Arabidopsis thaliana: one gene and its partner. The protein of the gene in region 1 interacts with the protein of each later gene in a pairwise test. Each region holds a gene or a part of one and is shown on either strand. Other genes may lie near its edges. The genes, in order: EXO70H7 and TRS120.

The links.
Region 2: the proteins of EXO70H7 (region 1) and TRS120 interact in a two-hybrid assay, tested with the Arabidopsis thaliana proteins (one study listed by BioGRID).

Annotation. Positions count from the first base shown.
Region 1 is NC_003076.8:24,063,243-24,067,944, forward strand, and holds EXO70H7 (exocyst subunit exo70 family protein H7), read right to left. Parts: upstream 2,929-4,702; 5' UTR 2,763-2,928; coding exon 858-2,762; coding exon of another isoform or gene 854-857; 3' UTR 635-853; downstream 1-634.
Region 2 is NC_003076.8:3,493,056-3,501,301, reverse strand, and holds TRS120 (TRS120), read right to left. Parts: upstream 6,108-8,246; 5' UTR 5,971-6,107; coding exon 5,560-5,970; intron 5,368-5,559; coding exon 5,161-5,367; intron 5,054-5,160; coding exon 4,871-5,053; intron 4,688-4,870; coding exon 4,578-4,687; intron 4,505-4,577; coding exon 4,445-4,504; intron 3,968-4,444; coding exon 3,679-3,967; intron 3,518-3,678; coding exon 3,228-3,517; intron 2,926-3,227; coding exon 2,045-2,925; intron 1,934-2,044; coding exon 1,028-1,933; intron 916-1,027; coding exon 692-915; 3' UTR 357-691; downstream 1-356. Other genes in the region: ALF4 (aberrant root formation protein), read left to right, coding at 6,152-6,316, 6,473-6,652, 6,751-6,900, 6,990-7,062, 7,387-7,553, 7,669-7,728, 7,842-7,992, 8,086-8,246. UniProt on the Arabidopsis thaliana protein: Specific subunit of the TRAPP II complex, a highly conserved vesicle tethering complex that is required for the proper transport of proteins in post-Golgi trafficking pathways to the growing cell plate in mitotic active cells.

The DNA of each region.
Region 1 (4,702 bases):
ATCTCATTATAATGAATAAACAAATGTTTCTATAATCCATTGTGAATGTTTTGTTGGATCTCTTCTGCAGCATATAACTACTGTATGTGCTATGGTATGGACTATGGAATATGATTAAAGATAAGATGGGCTCATAGAGTAAAACGAGGCGAGGGACCTATAAACCTCCCTTCATCATGCTATTTCATGATCTATTTTATAAAATAAAGATGTAGAAAAAAGTAAGCGTAATAACCGCAAAACAAATGATTTAAAACATGGCACATAATGAGGAGATTAAGTTCGGTTTACGTTTATTTTAGTACTAATTGTAACGTGAGACTACGTATCGGGAATCGCCTAATTAAAGCATTAATGCGAACCTGATTAGATTCACCGACCCTCCTATCGTGTCGACCTTTCTGTTTCTTAGAATTTTTTGGTAGTCTATGTACTAATAATGTCAGCTTCGTATTTATTTCATAAGCAATTTGCATTTGCAATTTGTTTTTTACTTTTATTTTTATTGTATTGTGGAATGTGGACTCGTACCAACATGAAGTTATATACCACCAAAAAAATTACAGTTAGTCAAAAGATTCACGAGTGAGAGCTACTTATGATTGTCTTTTACGTATATGTCTAATTGTCTATTTGCTCAATAATCTTTGTACTTTCTTTTGTCGTTGATAAAATCACAAAGTTCCAAAAGTAATCGAATGATTTGCTTTTAAGAAAAGAAGAGCTCAATAATTCAACATATATCTGTACACACATAATTGAATAAGATATTCGACACATCAATCACTATAGGTTACATTATAACCACACAAATTAAAGAAAAGAAAAAAAAAAAACTAATATCACGAGATTCTCATTCAATGACTACTACGTCCGCCACGAGCTTTACCCGTACTCGACGAACCAGTTCCGGATCCGGATCCGGATCCAGACCCACCAGCTGTCGAAACACTCCCTGAGCCTCTAGACCCAAAGTAAAGATCCGAGAGGTAATTCCCAATATCTTCAGGGGTATATCTGGAAATAGCCTCATTATCTCCAACCATACCATATGCAAACCGGTTCATCCGGTAAAACTCGGTACAAACCAGCATAAGTTTCTGACTCAACGTGATTTTAATCTGGTCCCTAAGTTTCGGGTCGGGTATAACCCACGAAGTCTGTTTCCGGTACGACGTCTCAAACTCATCGTTGAATCTCGCCACCAAAACCTTAGCTTCCTCCGGCGAAATCTCATCCGTCGGAATCTCCGGTAGTAAATCCAGCACTTTCCCCCACGCAAGCTTCTCAAACTTATCAGCATACAGCTTCACCTTCTCTTCATGCCTAAACACCCAATCGTCTCCGAGAAGAACCTTCAGAGTCGACGATCGGACTTTAACGACGACGTATTGGAGATTGTTAGCGAGGAAGAGATAAGACAAAGCAACGTCTTTATACGGCTGAGCTTTACCGTCGATTTTACAAAGCGTGAGTAAAATCACCCAAGCGATACGTACAGAGACCGGAGACGAATACAGATCCTCCGGATTCGCTTCATCGCCGCCGCTTATGTATAAAGAATCCGGCAACGGCGTCGGCACACTCAGCTTCCAGTTTTCGAATATCGCAGCGATGGAATCACTGTAATCAGCGAGGAAGGAGAGGTAATTCATAACGTAACGAGTCAGAGGATGAACACCACCACCGATGATCGGAGTCTTCGAGGTTTCTTTCTGAATCGCCGATTCGAAATCCGTCATCATCAACCTCGTCGCATCGCCGAGTCTAGCTAACGAGTTTATCACCTGAGATCTAACCGCAGCAGCTGATTCGAAGTAGAAGATTGATTCAATCTCAACATAGAGATTCGCAAGAGCTTCATACATATCCAGAAACCGAAACATTTTCTCCGGAGTTAACTTTTTGATCTTGGAAGCATATTCCGGGAAAGTGAAGAGAATCAATGCTCCTTCTTGAGTAATCTCAGTGAAAGAAGATTCAACGATTAAACCAGAGGAAGAGAAAACATGATCAGCTAAAATCCTCTCACCGAAGAACAATTTTCTAACAGCTAATTTCACAGCTTTTAGCCATGTTTTGATCTTTGATTCGAGAATCTCCCAATCCATTTTCTGAACCTGATGAAGATTGAATCTCTCCATTTGCAGATTATGCAGCGTCTCATCAACAATCGATTTCCGTACGGTTTTATAAACCCTAACGCATTCCTTAGCGTAGCCGGTAGAGATCATACAATCAGCAATCATCTTGAGATCATCCATTGCGTCGGAATCTCCACCGGAGAATCTATGCTCTTCGTCGGCGTTTTCTTCGTAACTGCTTTCGTCTTCGGAATCGGAGACACTAGTCGTAGTCGAAGTACTGAATCTCGATGATCTGTAAGAACGTACAGAGACACATTCAGGATCTAAATACTCACGGTTCGCTTTTAAAACACGATGAAACTCTGATTCGAGAAGCTTCATCGCCGATTGCATTAGATTCTGTGCGTAGATTAGCTTCTCCGAGGAAGGGTTAACGGAAACCAAACGATGCATCGTGCTTTGTAGATGTCTAACGGCTGTAACAAACTCCTCTGCTTCACGACGACTGTTGGTGGAGAAGAGGAAGTCGTCGGAGGAAGAAGCAGCCGGAGAAGTCCATTTTGATATGACGGTGTTGATGTTGCTCATACATTCTTGAACAGCTGATTCCGCGAGAGAGAGATGAGCTGTTGGTTTCTCCGGTGGAGGAGATGATCGGAATAAATGCTTCCCCATTTTTGTGGTTTGCTCTGTTTTTATTTTTTGGTACCGTCTCTTTTTATGTGTGTGAAGAAGAAGGTACTCTGTTTTTTTTTTTTGGTTACTCTTTAACAAAAATAAAACTTCTGGTTTGTTGTTTGTTTGTTTGGTTTTTGTAATCAAAAAGTGAAGTAGATAAGATGAGGAAGGTGGAGGAATGAGCTATATATATTATAGAAACGACGGCTTTTTCAATGAAATATACGTATATGCGTATATGTGAGTGTACGTATAGATATGTGGAGAAGAATGGTTGATTAGTCAAACGCGGTGTCAAATAAGACAAGACATTGGGGAAAGTCAATTCTGACGAAGTTTTTATTTTTACATTTATTGCTGCTTTCATCTGCAGCTGTGAATTTTGCATAGTTTACCGTTTTCGAAAAGAGGTGCTATTAAATACACTAGTAGTAATTCACCAACCAAATTACCAAAATATCACAAAAGGTAAATCTGTAGGATTCGTAAGAATTAATGTTTATATCCTAAAACTGTCAATATTAAATGTCACGAAATTGCAAAACTAATATACCCTTAACTGAAAAATCCTTGGCTTTGATTGGGTTAAGTACTAAGTAAGTACGTCATCTATGATCTATGATTCTTGGTTAAACAATAAACAATTAGTTTGAGAGAGTTGTTGAATATAAAATATATATTATAAGTGATACGATGATCTTAAATTCTTGGAAACTCTCGTGCACAAATCAGGACAGCAAAATTTTGTGTGGTATGAATTTTAGAATAAAATGAATGTTAGTACGTGTGTTACAGTTAGTTTTTATCAGTATTGTATTAATATATTTAACGGATGTAATGGAAAAACACAATTAGCTTTTTTTATGATACAAACTGTTAGTTAGCTTTCTACTAGATTTGTATTTTTGGAACCGAAGATTTTGAGGAAGGTTCCTTTGCCTTATAAGTTGAAAATTGCGTACTGCCGCCACATAAATGAAATCAACAGTTTATTTGTTAACAGATGTTCAAAGATCCTAAATTGCCAAAACACGACTACTAATTCATAGTTTTCTCCATCTCTTTAATTATTAGGGGAGAAGAGAACACAATACAAAATTTCCCATCTTAAACCATTTTCAGTAGGTTTCATCGGTGTCAAATATAAATCTAATTAGCAGTCAGATATTAAATCAATTTAAAGACTCTTGCTTCAGATTTTAAAATATTTTGTACAGTTAAATATGTTCCCAATCAAAATTTTATTGTGAAGTTAAAACTATTCATAAACACACAGCAGATGTTGAAATTACATCCTAAATTTCATAATCATATTCAAAATCATAGAAATTTAAAAGTTTAATATAGGATAGAAGTTAAAACTTTCACTGTCATTTTAATTGTGTTTAGTTAAGAATAGATGAAAACAACAAGACTGGAGACAATACGGCTCTTGATTCGGTAAAATTCTGATATTGTCTAAGCTCTCTAGTCTCAAAGCGATTTCATAAAATGATATAAAATTACCGTAATCAACCGACCATACTTTTAACTAAAAAGATAATTCAACCGACAATCAAACGAAACGGCAGTTACCAAAATTCAACGTGAGGAAGGTAGCATGATAATATATGCATGTAAATTATGTGTTTGAAGAATAATTATGTTATTTTAATCATTGTTTCTGAAATTAGTTTGCTAACGGAAAATTGCAATAATTTCTCTTTCTTTTGTCGTCGAAAAGTAAAACAATTCTAAAACGGGAAAAAGACAGTGAAAAAGAGAGAATCTAAAGATTGATTTTAACATAAGTAACACGTGAATCGAGTGGAAGTTGCCGACTAGGATAAAGCTAATGTCACCCACCACTCATGCAATTCAAATGGTCCTCATTCTCCATGGCCCCTAGGGATTTCGACTAGACAGGAGCCGACCCACTTGTTCTCTTTTTAGAGCAC
Region 2 (8,246 bases), about 21 Mb from region 1:
AGCGTATTACAACCACAAAATGAAACCAAACTTCGTTCATGTCTTTCAGCCAAAAAGATAAATTGCACAGAATTTTAAAATAACAAACGCAATAGAATAGGACAATCCTCTTTAGCCAAAGATACTTTGTGTCAGTTTTTTTTTGCTTTAAATTAATAATCGTAACTATTTCTAAAGTAAATTATTGTATTATTTTTTAGTTATTGATTAATCCGTAAGGCCACTAATACACGACATACGAGCTTTGGGGAAACTTCACTGCCTTGTTTGATTATATCAATGAATGGTATTTATTTGACGGTGAAAGTTATGTCATTGCTCTGTGGACCTTTTCAATACACAATAGGGAAGGAATTCATGGTTAAATAGTTTTATTTTTGCTAATATTATGCTATAATCGTTTTATTCTTTTTATCACTGAAAGTGATCCCACTGAGCAGAGTACAAACACTTACTTTGAGAAAAGTAGTCTCAGAACCGAGGCCGTAAAATTCCAAAAAAGCATAGTCTATGCATGGTGGTCATAAGATGACCCAAGGTAAATACAGAGACAAACACACAAGCAATTATAGAGATATTTATAAAGACCCATACTTAAACCCGGAACTTATAATTGATTCTCGAGAAATCAACTAACAGAGCAAAAAACAGAGTATAAATTATAATGCCAAGACCTGATTTGGTTAACGAATCACAGTGCACCTCCAGCTACACAGACATGAAAAGGCGGTCCACGACAGAAGATGGGTTCGTTTGGAGAAGCAGTTCCTGCTCGTGCTCTGAGTACATTGTTAGCGTCTTCAATTACAGCAGCTGCTACCATCGTGTACTCTCCTGGAACAAGGAAGAAGAGTGAGAAACAGTGTCTTGCTTCTTGCAGCGGCGCTACTTCCATTGAGATTCCACTAAGAGCACCTGACAAAAGTATAAGCCACCTTTTACATATCTCATTGTAATACACACGGCTATAATGGCAGCAAATATCTATGTTACACAAATATTTATTACTTAGTGACAGGAATCTTACCAGCCCAGAGGACAGTGGCATCAGCTCCTTCAGTGCAGTTCTGTCCAGCTACATCTCTGCAAGTAACACTTAGATTCAACTTGATAGCTTCGCTAGTGTTATTGCGGACCAGAACCTCCATAGGAGTGACTTCATGTGACAGAACAGATCCCTTTGAAAATGGGGACTCAGCCTTTGTCTCAGGATCCTTCTCCAGACCGTTTCTGACCAGTCTGAAACCAAATGTTAGCGGATCTGGGAGCAAAACATCCATCACAGTCGTCTGGAGAGCTGTCTGAATTGCATCCTTGATGTCCAGTTCTCCTGAGCTGTTCCTTCCTGATTGCCACCGAACTTTTATCTTAGAGATGAGATTCTTGATCAATGTGTTTATCTCAGCTTTCGTGTTCTTCTCTGAGAAGCTCGGATTTCTACTACTTGAAGGGCTACCAGGTGGAGGGTCCTTTGTGAAGAATGAACCATCAAGAACCGGTAGCTTAAAATGCTCCAATGGAATCAGTACCCTAGCAGAATAGTCCCGGTCGATTCTTGTTTTCGGGTATTCATACTCTGGAGAATCTTGTACTGGTGAAGAATCATCTTCCTTGGCAGAGTTTTCCAGCTGAACGAAGACGCTGATTTCAAAAACAACATCTGTTGGGTTAGATAACTCAAGTTCAAGAAACCGTAGTCCCCAGCTTCCCCTAAAGGGATTGATCTTGACAAGGCTGTCTGCATTGCTCTCTCTTTCAATGTCTTCATCCCGAAGGTTGTCACTCACATGTGCAGGGATTTCCATGGAAAGCAAACGAGCTTTCACAAACGACAAACCTTGCAAAACACAAATTTGTAAGGGAACAACAAGCCGTCTGCCCGGTGGCACGATAGATTCTTTTTCTTGGGAATCCCCATTGTTAGACAATGGCCCTGCAAAAATATGAATACAAAAATGCTTTTAGTAATTAGTCATCGTGAGGATACATGAAGCACTGAAAAAGTAAGATACATAGAAACATACGTCAAGGAAGAAATGAATACCTGCGTAGTGAATAAGCAATGATGGACTGGTTCCGTCTTTTGGTCTTCCTGTGTTACCCGCAGCATTCCTGCCACTGCTCATAGTATTGTCAGAATCAGTTGGACCCACATGCCAAGCTTTTAAAGTCACAGGCAGAGTCACTTGTGCCCCAGGTTTCAAGGGAAGAGCAGACTGTAAAGCTTCATCTGCGATCGAGATAACAGCATCCTGATTCTTTCCAGAGAGCGAGACATGTGCCTGTACTATTGGAACTGTGCCAGCATTTGCAAAATTTATACACACCTCCCGAATTTCACCTTCATACAGAATAATTGCACCATCACCACCCACAACATTAGCCACAAGGAGGGGCAATGGAGGAGCAACTGATATGTTAGGAACAAATACATGTCGTAGCTTTGCAGATCCGCAGGATCTGAAAGGGTCAGAAAATACAAGTCCTTGTGCTGCTCCAAGAAGCAGATTGTCAACATCCCTGAACACATGTTCAGTGATTACACCAAAGCAGTGAACTGTGCAGCCTGGAATTGTCACTGGTCCTACAGCTGTTGGAATACCAGATAATGTGATCACTTTTGCAGAGTTAGGGGGAATGTCCACACTGACAGGAAACGCATCAAAGTTACTCGAGTGAGCTGAGAGATAAATACTATCAATCCGCAAATCGAAGCAACAAGGATTTGCTAACTCCACTAAGACCTGAACTGGTTCACCGACCACCCAAATCAATTCCTGCTTGCTACTTTCGTTGGCATCTCCTTTGCTGAAAGGAGTGTAAATAAATGGCCCAGAAGGAGCAGAGCCTGTCCACCAATCTTCTCTTGCTGGATTGCGTTTTACGATGTCCACTTGGGAGGAATGGAGTGGGAAAGAGAATAGCCTGAAATTTCATTAAAATAATCATGCTTAGAAGAACCATTAAAATTTGCCAAAACATACACAGTTTTGCCAGAGTCAGCTAAGAACCAAACATGGAACACATTCCTGAAAATAAACACATATTGGGCATATATGAAGCCCAAGAGATGGATTAAAAGAGATTATTACTTATTTTTCTGATCTCGTTGCTCTACTTAGAGTGCTAGGAAATATAACATGACCAAGTTAGGTTGTTTCATGATGGTGAGAGTGCACAAGCAAAACATCTCTGAGAGCAAAAAGGTTGACTGCTGATAAACATACCTTACAAAAGGCAAGGCAGGGTCAGCACAGCGAGTTCCAGAAGGTAATCTATCCGCTGAATTTGCAAGGGAATTAGCAAGTCCATTTTGACCTGAAGGTGTAATTAGAGGATAATGCCACCTCAGAAGCCTAGCTGCAGCACTCCATGCAGCTAAGGGATCTCCAGCACGAACAGCAGAGAGGAGTATCTCCCTAAGCACAACCATCTGCAAAGTGCTCCAATGGGACTCGAACAGGGAGACAATGGAATGATGATGCATTTTCCCAGCGTCAGGTAGGCGCCCAGTTTCCTTTACCAACAAACACAAGAGAAGATACAATATATTATCAAAGTATGATACATGGATAAATACCAAGATAGTGAAAAGTGATGATAACAAAAAAAACTCCAGAAAACCATGCTCAATCAAACACAAGAGAGGAAAAATAATGCCTATGCTGGCAAACTCACATTGTTAACCGACACTTTTGACATGGATGCCCTACTTTGAATTCTGTATGCATCAGTTGTCATAGAGAGAACTTGCATGGCACTGATAGCAGCCAATCGATTGTCTTGCTGCAAATACAATTGGGCGACCTGCCTACAGAAGAAGGCTGCTTTCCGTTGATAACCAAGGGCTCCAAATAAACGCGCTACTTCAACATATAATATGAGCCTATCACTGGCATCAATTAAAGACTTTGCACCATCAGCTGCATTTGTTAATAGCTCTACTACTTCCTTAGCCAGTTCCCTCCTGCACAACACATAAAATGACATTGTAAGAATGATTAAGATCAAAGATACCAAGAAAAAAATGAGGATGCAACCAGAAGGTTAAAAAAACATAAAAGCTGCCACAACCAGAGAGTATCATTTCATACTAAACGGAAAACCCATGTATTTTAGCTTTTTCAAAACGTAATAATTATTCTTTTCCCAGCTAACATCACCATCAATCACAAAACATTAACATACAGCCATCCTCCACTAGGCCACTTAATACTTAATAGTAATCTCAATATATTGGTATTATAAGTTGAATGTTGCAGATAGTTTTAGAGGATCAAAGCCACACACACACAAGATCCCATGAGTTTATATTTAAATTTTAGTAGCGATATAGCTTCCTACTAGACAAAAATACCATAGCAACCTTAAACTTAAGCAGGAGACGGCAAGAAAGGAAACCACACCATGATAATTTAAAGAAATAGAGAGCATACAATGATACCTGCAAAGGAATCTGGCCAGCTTAAGGGTAGCTTCGAGTTCAAAGCTTAGGGGCGAAACTCTGCAAGGAAGAGAATTGATTGCTATTACTTAAGTTTATCGAAGAAGAAAGCCAAACAGGTTGGTAGAATTACCTCTGAGCAATTTCTTGAATAAATGACTTTCTGTAGTGCAAGATAACATTAGTGTATCGATATCTAACTTCATCTTCTAAAGCCACATCACGTTGACCCATCCGATCTACCTAATATTAAGAAAACGGAAAACTAAGATGATTGCAAACTTAATTAAAGAGGGACAGATGAGAGCAATTTCATAATCAGTGCACTTTCGATAAACAGCACATCACTATCCATGTTTTTGGACTATAATACTATTAAAAATGTAAGAACAATGCATTTAGAGATATATTTGCATAAAGCCTTACCAGTAAGGCACAAACACTGCCTTCCAAGGCACCGGCATACCAGAAGTAATCTCCAGTCAATCTGGCCAGTTCCAGAGCAGTAGAATAATGAGCATTGGCATCAACAGGTGAACCAGCCAACAAGGAATAGTCTCCTATAGTTTTTTGTGCACGTCCCAGCCTACGCTTTTTGGCCTTAATAACCTGCATTAAACAAAACTAGTGAGCCTAGAAGACTATGCTAATAAGTTATAAGCTTCCAGAGGAAGAAATGAAACGTAGACCAAATTATAGGACACCTAGACATAAACCTCCTCTGAGTTGAGACTAGCTTGGGAATCCAAAGGCGTCTTCAAAATTGTGCCAGCAGATTCTGCCTGAAGAACCCACTTCTCAAATTCCATTAACAGCGAAGCGGCAATGTCTTGCATCATTGTTTGTAAATGAAACTCCTGAGTTTGCTTGTCAGATGGAGGAAACAAAATCAAATTTTCACCCTTCTTGTCTCCATCTTCAAGCTGCAAAAGACAGTACATTGTTCAGTAAATCGTCAATCTAACGCATCCATAAGCAAGTAACTAAATCACTGGTACAAAAAATGGACATCACTATCAACTGTAGAGACAAATCAGAAAAAAGCTAGCTAGATCCATCGGCATCGAGCTAAGAATGCCATAGCAGATAAGAAGCATGGAAACTAATATACTTACTTGCGAATCGCCAGGGGAGAAAGCGAAGCAGCGCCGGACAAGAGCCGAGGAATAACTCTTACAAGCGACATTGAATTTTTCAGTGACAGAATCAAGATCAGGGGACGAGGGACAGTGGCAAAGGCCGATCACGGCGAGCATCTTCCGATTAGACTGAAAATCCTCCCAAGGACTCGGAGGAGAACCACCAAGCACAAATTTGAACCGGAGAGAGCCGGAATCCCACGGCTGATTCGTGAATGGAGATTTCTGATGTTCAGTGTAGAAAGAGCTAATAGCTGAGAGCGCGATCGTGTGATGACGGAGCAGCATCGAGTGGTAGTCCCGGAGAAGCGTCGGCGGAATAGTGCCGATCGGAAGGACGGCGATCCGAATGATCGACAAAGTCTCGATACTGACGTCAGGTTCCATGGCGAGATCAGAGAAGGAGAGTGAGGATCTTTCGGTGAGCGTGAGTGCACCGGATCTGAAGGAGACGAAAACGAGAAAGTGTTGAGAGAGAGAACGTGGTCTGTTTGGGTACAGGTATTAAACTATTCTTAGTTAGAATTAGACTATCCGGGGTTAAACTCTATTCATATAACCAAACGATATGGTTAAATTCGCGATTATTAATACTCTCACTGTGAACGAAACTTGGGCGAAATTGAAAAGTTTTGGCGTTATGGAATCGTCCATTGAAGGGAGCTCCGAGTCAACTACTGTCACTACTTCTCCTTCGCGTCGTGTACGAGAACTTTTAGCTTTGTGTTTCAGTGTAAGCTTTCTCTCTTCTTCTTCTCCTCGTTTCGGGTTTGTGTAATTTGTTTTCTGGGTGGAATTTCTAGATGCTTTGAGATCGATGAATACTTAGCTGTTTCGTGATTTTTGGAGCTCGAATGAAAAATTCGCCGCTAATTTTGTGATTTTTCAGTCAGTTGAAGAAGCCGGAGGATTTCAAGACTTTGAGAGTTTTGTGACAGAACTTGTCAGCTGTTTGGATTCTTTGTATGAGAACGTAGCTTTGGATGCTAACAATGAACTGGAGAACGATGTTATTGAAGAAGTATTAGATGAAATTTTGAAAGTTTTATCATCTCCTCAAATGGATCAGGTACTTTTCAGTTTTCGAATCGCTTTCAAAGCCAAACGGAAGGATTTTGTTTAGAGAACCAAGCTTATGATTTTGTTCCCCGATTCATTTTATTACAGGATGTTATAGATGCACTGTCATTTCACTTGCCAAAAGTAACTTCCAAGTTTGCAGACATATCAAGCAGATGTTTACAGTTAGTTGAGGAAATCGTTGATCGGTTTGTGGAAGCATGCAATCCACGGGATATGCTTTCAATTCTTTGTGAGGTAATTGATCTGGAATTTCTTTTTCCTTCTTGGTATTTGGCATAAGAAGATTACAAGTTCTTTTTGATCACCTTATGACTCTGAACCAGGCACTCGATGCTGCACGGTGCTATCATTCAGCCTCCACTTGTTCTACTCCTTTATTGCATGGGCTCTCTAAAGGTACCAGTTGAAGATTTCTCGTTTTCAAGATATTTATAGACTCCTCTCATGAAAGTGAATTTTAGCCTGGCACCTGCAGTTTTAGTAATACTCTTGCTTTGATTGTACACAAGTATGAATATCCTAAAATTTATAGACTTCTCTCATGAAAGTGAATTTTAGCTTGGCACCTGCAATTTTAGTAATACTCTTGCTTTGATTGTACTTAAGTATGAATATCTTAAAGTTTGTGTTTGAATCCCTAACTAGTTTTGTTACTGAAGATATTAATTTAGTCTTCGTGAACTGAAGCAGTAAAAAGTTATTCAAATTTCCTGGTTTCAGTATTTATTTTGATCCAGAGGCGTCACTACGAGCAATTAAAGGTTGCAGTTCCAATTGTCCTGAACGTTTTGAAGGACATTTCATTGGAAACAGACGTGCAAGTTGAAGATTTATTTGATAAGGCTCTAGGCATTGCCTCTTCAATTCGAGACGTTTCTTCAAAACTGGTCTGTAAGTTTGATAAATTGGCAATTAGGATTCCCTAAATCACTACCCAAAGTGTAAATTCTCTAATTTGAATATTCGTTTTGCCTGATTTGATCTCTTTTCTTTGTTTTACAGAATAACGAAGAAGAAGCAAAAGTCCGTTGTCTACTTTGTCTCTATGTGATACAGATAACGGTTTGTACTTGATTCCAACTTTGTTTCGATATCATGGAACTTTTCTGACTTTTCTCTTTTATTATGAGCATATAGATTTTCTTCAATACCTTAGATTTGGTCTGGTTTTGCAGGCTATTATTTCAGTTAGCATCAGAGACAAAGCGGCCTCTTGTATTCCTCTGGTGATTCAGTTAGAACCGTTCTTGACATCCTGTGGTTTAACACATCTTGGTTTAATCACGGGGAATGACACTGAAAAATTAATGAGCACGGTTGCTGGAGGTTACTCTCAATACTCAAAAACACTTCTTCCTGATTTCTCAATAACACGCATCTGTTCTCGTATCACATGTCTCATGGTTGTAAAATGAACAGATGATGATGAGTTTATCACCTCTTTCCCTGACATCAGCTTGGGTGCATCGCTTTTATTCATCTGTGCAAAGATCTCCCATGAGGTTGCAGAGGCGGCTAATGCGGTTTTAGGAAGTGTTGTTGATGAGCTTCAAAACAATCCAGTGAAAAGGTGGCAAGCT